Linked DNA regions of Tribolium castaneum. The protein of the gene in region 1 interacts with the protein of each later gene in a pairwise test. Links are inferred from orthologs where the notes say so. Each region holds a gene or a part of one and is shown in the gene's direction. Other genes may lie near its edges.

Region 1 (3,833 bases):
ACTCCATCAGCTGGGGCTTTAATTTATGTCAATGGACGGGAGGTAAGAAAAAAATAATAAATAAATTGTTATTATTCTTATTAAATTAATTTTGTCGCAGATCACCGAGCCAGTCGTCCTCAAAACCGGCTCCCGAGTCATTTTGGGCAAAAACCACGTGTTCCGCTTCACGCATCCAGACGAAGCGCGTGAGATGCGTGAAAAAAATTCGACACCTTTAGAAACCGTTGACTGGAACTATGCACAAATTGAACTTCTTGAAAAACAAGGCGTTGACTTAAAGGCCGAGATGGAAAAACGTCTCCTAACCCTCGAAGAACAATACCGTAAGGAAAAAGAAACCGCAGATCAACTGTTTGAAGAGCAGCGAAAAAATTACGAGGCTCGAATTGACGCGCTTCAAAAGCAAGTGGAAGAACAGAGCATGACAATGTCGATGTACAGTTCCTATACGCCCGAGGATTTCAATAATGAAGATGATATTTTCGGTGAGTTTTTCACAGGAGTTGTTGCTGTGGCTTAATTTCGATCAAGCGCACGTTTATTGCTTGCTTTGAAATTGAGACGGGGGCGCTTTTGCAGTGAACCCTCTGTTTGACGCAGAGTGCAATTGGACCGAGAAGGAGTACGAGCTGGCCGCCAATGCCTGGAGGAAGTGGAAACATCACCAGTTTACCTCCTTGAGGGACGATCTCTGGGGCAATGCCATTTTCCTCAAGGAGGCGAACGCCATTTCGGTCGAACTCAAGAAGAAAGTAAGCGAAAATTTATTATATTCTTGTAACCTTAAACGCATAATCAGTATTGATGACATTAGCCACTTCCAACCTTTCGCCATAAGCTTAAAAAATAGATAAAAATGTTTAAAAAATGTAAGCGCAGACTTACACATTAATGTATTTATTTCATTGTTTATTTCTGTGTGTAAACAAGAGATGATAAAAACATCAATAATATTTATTTCGATAAATATGAAGGCACCGATATCTAGTGTTTTGTTCGTCTGTCGATTTTTTAAAATATAGTAGAGCTTCGGATATAACGAGCAAAATTGAAAGTCAATCCCGTTTTAATTCCTATAGTATAGCAACAAATGAGTAAATTCAATGTTAAGTCGCATTTGTGCATATTTTTTATGTTTACAGCTTTTCAAAATTTTGCCTATATGCACTGTACTGCCGTTAAAAAATAGCAAGGCAATACTGTTTTCCTCATTTTTTATTTTGGGATGTTTCTGATAGTGATGCTGAGAAATTTCTATAAATAATGTGAGTATATTTTGAAAATGAAACTTTGCTTTGTTTTTCAGTTATATAAATGTCGATCAACAAATTTAACCAACTACACATTTTTTCGAATTCGAAAAACTTTATTTGTCTTAACATTATTTACATAACTGTTACATTTTAATAATTATTTATTTAACTATAATTTGAAAGTTTAGAACGCTTACATATTAAACCAGAGCGTATGAAATATTAATAGCAAATTAACAAATTTGTAGCAACGTTTTCTTTGTACACCATTAACCTTGTCAAAACATCTTATCCTGAAGGTGCTTATCTTAACACCATTATCTGTTGTAAAACTTTATGGCGTACAAAAAAATTACAATATCGAAATTCTCATAGATCCATATTTCCACAAAACTAAAATTTAAAAAGAAAATTGGGCAAATAGATTTAGGGTCAATTTACAGATCATTTATTAATTACAATCAAATTTTAGTTTATAATGAACTGATTACTGAGTAATTTAACATTTGTTAATAGCAACTTTATGAAACGAGCCTTAGCGAGTGTCGCAACGAAGATAAGTGTCTTATTAGCTTTTAAAGGCGAGTTACATACGCTATTTTTTTCTACGATCTGACCGGTTAATATAAAATCACATTTTTTTTCAAAATGTCAATTTTTTTAAATGTCAGGCTCAAGACAATCTAACAGTTGCTGCTATCTTACTCGTACATTCTCACTGGTTACAAGTTGAGTTGAATGGATTGAAATTTCACATACTTACGTAATCTGTTTCTATGTTGTTAATTACCCCCTAAAGGGGTTAAATGGGGTTTCAATTTTTTTTAATTTAACGAATTGTTATTTCTAACAAAAAACACTTTATAGCCACGAAAAACCCTATAAACAAGACATAGCTATTTACCACCACATACTTTTAAAATGATACTATCTATTGTAAGAAATTAACACGCAAAATTTCTAAATGAAAAATATATAAAAAAATGTTTTTTTAAGCTTTTTTTTAAAAGATGCACTAAAAAGTCAAAAATAATGTTTTTCAAACATCTATAATTTTTTATATATTTTTTATTAGTTGTATTTACTGTTTTCACAATTTTTACTTTGCATTTATGTTTTTTTTACTAACAGTTATTATTTTTACCCAGCATTTAATTTTTTCCCAAAAATTACCAGTAGATGTTAAGTAAACCAAATGAAGTTGAAAGATTTTTATAGTTTTTATAATCGGCAAGAAATAATCACTTGAAAGTATACTTAAATAATATTAATAATGATTATAATGTATTTCACAGATATTTTGTCGGTTATTTATCTACAATAATGTTCGGACAAATTAATAGCGACTGTTAATTTATTATTCGTCCGCACATGTTTGTACAAACGGATAACACAGTGTGCGAACGCTAACTACGGTCTTTAAAAACTGTTGAATTGGTAATTTTGTTTTTGTCGAACTTTTGGCATATTTGCGTTTGTATAACACTTAAAACTTACCGAATCATAATAGAAGAGAATACATAAAAACATAGAAACATTGAGAACTAGTTAGAAAAAAGAACAGAGGGATAGAAATTAGAAGAAGACAAAAAATACAGTCAACTAGAAGATAACTGACTGAAGAAATAAATTTTAAAATACAAAAAATTAAAATGATATAACGAATAAAAAACTGATTCTAAATCTCACATTGAGTATTTATAATGATATAATACGAAAAAAATTCAAGACTTTTAAATGGTAATCAATGTTTTTTATTGTTTCTGGATTATCCAAGGGTTTTATTCGGATTCCATATTTCGGTGTACCTGTTGAAATTCACTCTTTTAATTAAACTACAGACAAAATGGTCAAAAAAGCACTAATTAAAAGAAAGTTTTGAAACAGATAATAGTTGTTTATTTTTTTTTTTTGGTAGAGGTACTCACCATAATAATAAGCTCAGATGAAGTATTTTTTTTTTTAAATTAAAAAACTTCCGACCTAGTATGAGAAAAACAATCCTTAATTTTATTTTTACAAAGATTGAATTTTTCGGTCTTTTGTAATGCGATATATTTTAGAATTGTAAAACCTTATTGGCAAGAAAAAATATCATCCTGTCTTTATTAGTAAATTAGATTAATACTTAATGGATCTATTCCAAGATTTAGAATTAATTTGTGTTCGTTATAACCGAGTTCCACTGTACTTTTTTAAAATACTTGCCAAAAAAATAAACATTCTTTAAAAGATTGTAATATAAGCTTCTGACTCCTTAAAAACTAGTTAAAAAAGTGCCAATTTGGCACCGGAACTGCACAATATATTCTCCTAGGTACAATTCCAATTCACACTTTTGACCGACACCCTCTACTCGCCCCTTCCGGCCGATTTGCGTCCCACCATCGACTATGATCAAGACGAGGACGCGTCAGTGCCGAAAACAATTGTCGCTGTTGAAGTTCAAGATACGAAAAACGGGGCGACTCATTACTGGTCGTTGGATAAACTTCGGTGAGTGTTTGTTGGATGATTGTAAATTTGAATGATTCTGTGTCACGTTCTGCACTAATCATCAGTCAAAGACTGGAATTG
Region 2 (4,263 bases), on another chromosome or scaffold:
TAGTTAACTTTGGTAGTAAGCTTTCAATTGTTTTTTTTCAATCAACAAATTAAGTATACCTTCACACAGTACGTTGAGTGTGCCTAAAATATAATGTTACTACAGATGTTACTAAAATTCATTTTTAACAATAATTTAAGGCAAAACAAGTGTTGAACAAATACAGAACGGGAAATGTCATAGCATGAAAATGGTTTTTATATTTCTTCATAGTTTGAACATAGTTAAGTTAGAACTGACAATTAATCAAACCTTGACAAATTTAACGTAGTTATAAAATTATCTGGACTGGTAGTTTTCATCAGTGTCCTAAGATAACATTAATAAACCCTACCAGCCTAATTCAGTGCATTTCACTGTGCCATTAAAGCAAAAATTGTTTGAATGTGGCAGCTGCCAAATTGACAAACAAAATCTGTTCCAATCTAATGAAAATTAAATTTTCCGGTCTTAATGCATCCAACTGACACTATACACTACACGAGATACCTAATGTCATTAATTTTCAGAGGATTCTTGACCTGACTTATTTAGTCACGACACTAACCTGGGCAGTTTTAGCTGAGACACCCTGTATACTATTGTATTATCATTACAGTATTATTTACTGTTATCTAATCTGGTATTTTGTCTTTTGCGGATTTACCACAAAGACGTCATAGCATTCATGGCATTTTACTCAACACCTGCATTAGATTATTAATGACGGTATTTTTCTGTTGTCAAATCACTTAACAATGAGGTATGCGACCTTGTCTGTTGGATTTTCTAAAATTGCAAGGAAACAGTAAATTTCACCGACTCATGGAAATTCCTACTCAACAATAAATTACAGAGATTAAACAACACACAACAGTTGTAAATGAGTGTAAATGTTGTGTAATTTGAAGAAACATGAAAAATGCAGCAGTAACTGTAAACAAAAGGAATTACCTGCTAAATTGCTGGAAGTATGCTTTTTTCCGGATTTTTTATGCTTGGACATGGTGCAGTTTTGGATGTAATTGTTGTCAAATCGTGAATAAAGTACATGTTAAAACGGGAATTGAAAATATACTCAAATAATGACCAACGAGACCATCGCTATCACCAGCCATGATGGACTGAACGGAGTTGTCAAAAAACTGTCACTGTCAGGTGCCCCAACAATCAAATTATGATTTAATACTTTTGCAATAACACTATTGCTCTCAATTGTATTTTTGTGATTTGTATTTAATTCTAGTTTTTTTTTCGAAATAGTTTTTTAGTAAATTGTGCGTGGCGCCATCTGACGGTAGCGTTACAGTGTCCTGTTGTATCGACTCGAATGGGCTTATTTGACATTGGTTTTAAAATGGCTGTCAGATCCGAAGTTTGTGTATGTAGTTAGGACGTAAGGGATGGAATTTGTAGGTGTGTCATAGTGAAAACGTTCCGATAATGTTAACACATGTAGTAATAACCAATATGACAATGTGCACGTGTTCGGTTTGCGTCGGTTTGCGCGTTCCGTTTAGTTAATGTGGACGTTTGGTGAGGGGTTAGAACCGATCCATGTAATTGGGTATTTAGTAAAATAATCGGCGGGCAGTGCGTTAAAGTAAACAGCCAGCATGTGGAACATGATGTGTGATGTAATGCCGACCATCTCGGAGGACAGCATCAGCCAGAGGAGCTCCCAGTTCTCTGGCGAGGATGCGAACTTCGAGCAACTGATGGTCTCGATGCTGGACGAAAGGGACAAGCTGATGGACAGTCTGAGGGAGACTCAGGAGCGTCTCGGCGAAACGGAAATGAAGCTGGCGGACGTGGAGAAGGAACGCGACTCGCTCCATAGGCAGATCGCCGCCAATCTCCCACAGGTAAGAGCACCCACCACCGATTTGGAGCTTTATCGATTCCTCCCGGCAAAGCGCCTTCCTCAAACGCCATTTTCATAAAGAAATGAGACGGTTCCTTGCCGGTTTTTATTCATATCGTAGGGCGATTGTGGAAACTGGACCACCCTACCATGCATCTATGAATTAACGATTGCGATGGGATCTATAACTCCGCCCTTAATGGTCTTTTCGACGGCCACGCTTAACGCAGTCGTAGAGTCGCAGTAACCTTGGTTACCATCACATTGCCCTTTAAGTGCACTTGGTCAGATTAGAAATTATTATTATTTTTGATGATTAAACACCAATCAGTGAATGGTTGTGCTTGCCGGAAGAGGAAGTTGGCAAATGGACAAATCTACATATGTGTGCATACCTTTTAACATCACATGAAAGTCATTCGGTACAACACGTTGGCCAATACTAACTTAAACTCGATTCATTTCATCTTACATGTTAAAAAACGACTTAATTTTATTATTTCTGAATGAAAGAAGTTACTGTGACTTGTTGTTCGATGGATGGTAAATTGATTTTTTTCACAGTGAAGTGATAATCAGCTTTAGAAGCGCCTGTTGAGTCATTTTTCGATTGATTTGTATTAATTAACATGAAATTAAAAGACAACTGCTAAAATAAAACAAAAATGGGATTGTTAAAATTGTTAAATGCTCATTTGTTTTTTTTTTGTTAAATTTTTATTGACATTTTAAAATTTGTGAAAAAGGACAATTTTTCTTTGAATCTACAGCCTGTTCCGTCCACTTTATAAGTACCCGTAGTTTTGATGATGAAAATTTGTTTTTGTTGAGTTTTATTCCAAGCGAGTTTTTATTAACTTTTTCTATGCCTAAATTTAGCCGTTTTTGGGTTACGAATATACAGGGTGAGTTATTGATATGGGCAATCTCGATTACACTTACATCTACACTTACACCTAAACCATTAATGATCTCGAAATAAATTAAAGGGCACTGCAAATGTGAGGCCAAAGTGCAGTTTCTAAAATTATTTTGTCCTATACAGAGTTAAACAAAGCGTGCGACAAAGACAAGTATTATGAAAATTATTTTTCTATTTTTAGATATACAGGGTGAGTCATTGATGCGGGCGTGCTCGATTGTACCTACACTGTCAAAGATATGGGAAGTCAAAGTGCACGTTCTAAAATTGTTTTGCTCTATACAGGGTGTTTTATTTTTACAGTGCAACCTTTAACATAGTTTTTTAAATGGCATTCCCTGTACAGGGTTATTCATATTTATGAGACAATAAATGAAACTCAAAAAGGATCTTCTAAATGATGCCAATTGAGATTATAACTCGTGTCCTATCGAAACTGATAAGAATTTTACAGCCCTGGGAAGTAGGGGTATGGAAAGACGTTTTTGTACCATAACTTTAGAACCATTTGACCAAATATTACGAAACTTGGTAGACTTACTAAAGACAAAATGCCTTTTAATCTGGTAGTTACGAAAAACGGATACATCCACCCAGTTTCCGGTTGCAGCATTTCCACATTTTTTGTGTTTTTTATGTTTTTGCCCTCTTAACACTACTTTTTTATTGCTTAAATCGATAGAGTAATCAATTTCGAATAAAAAAGTTATAACCTTCTACACCGTTAAAATGGACCGTTTAATAGTTATTTTAATTTCAATAGAGGCTTGCACCTGACTAAAATCAAAAAAGTATGAATTTTGAGCTGATAATATCTGTAGCAACGAAAGTGCATCTGCACTCAAAGCGTTGTCAAGTACTGTCACACACTTGTCAACTTTAACTTTGGATAATTTGGGGCTCTAAATTAAAAATATTTAATAAAAGGAGTTTATTTCAGTCTCTTAACATAACCTACATTAAATTTGAACTAATTTGGTAGCATTTTTGATTGATTAATTCATCGAAAATTCACAAAAAAGTCATTAGTCGTTACCTAATTATTTGTTCTATTCGGTACGTTTATTACACCAAATTCCGAATAAAGACATTAAAACTCTTAAAAGCGTACCCCTACTAAGTGGGTGCAACTACTCGCTTGTCTTCCAGACACTAAATGAACAACACTCAGTTCACTACTAATTTGCATTATTTTGTAATAAAAGCAGCGGTATTTTTGACTGAATGCTTTGCGTTTTGTATTGTTAAGTAGTGTTAAGAGGGCAAAAACATAAAAAAATACAAAAAATGTGATCCGGAATTGGTGCAACCGGAAACTGGGTGGATGTATCCGGTTTTCATAATTACTAGAATAAAAGGCATGTTCTCTTTAGTAAGTCTACCAAGTTTTGTAATATTTGGTCAAATGATTCCAAAGTTATGGTGCAAAAACGTCTTTCCATACCCTTACTTCCCAGGGCTGTAAAATTCTTATCAGCTTCGATAGGACACGACTTAT

Evidence for each region.
Region 2: the proteins of unc-104 (region 1) and Liprin-alpha interact in binary tests that used the Caenorhabditis elegans proteins (3 or more experiments, as listed by UniProt). The link is inferred for Tribolium castaneum from reciprocal best matches to the Caenorhabditis elegans genes unc-104 and syd-2.

Annotation. Positions count from the first base shown.
Region 1 is NC_087399.1:8,193,207-8,197,039, reverse strand, and holds part of unc-104 (kinesin-like protein unc-104), read left to right. Parts: coding exon 1-42; intron 43-100; coding exon 101-488; intron 489-564; coding exon 565-755; intron 756-3,573; coding exon 3,574-3,752; intron 3,753-3,817; coding exon 3,818-3,833. UniProt on the Caenorhabditis elegans protein: Motor protein involved in microtubule-associated anterograde transport. Regulates the transport of synaptic vesicle precursors in the axon of DA motor neurons. Regulates the polarized sorting of axonal proteins.
Region 2 is NC_087397.1:21,769,612-21,773,874, forward strand, and holds the start of Liprin-alpha (liprin-alpha-1), read left to right. Parts: upstream 1-1,308; 5' UTR 1,309-1,595; coding exon 1,596-1,844; intron 1,845-4,263. Other genes in the region: fsd (transmembrane protein 183), read right to left, coding at 934-985. UniProt on the Caenorhabditis elegans protein: May play a role in regulating the structure of the neuronal region, called the active zone, from which synaptic vesicles send neurotransmitter signals across the synapse. This may be in association with the liprin-beta protein hlb-1.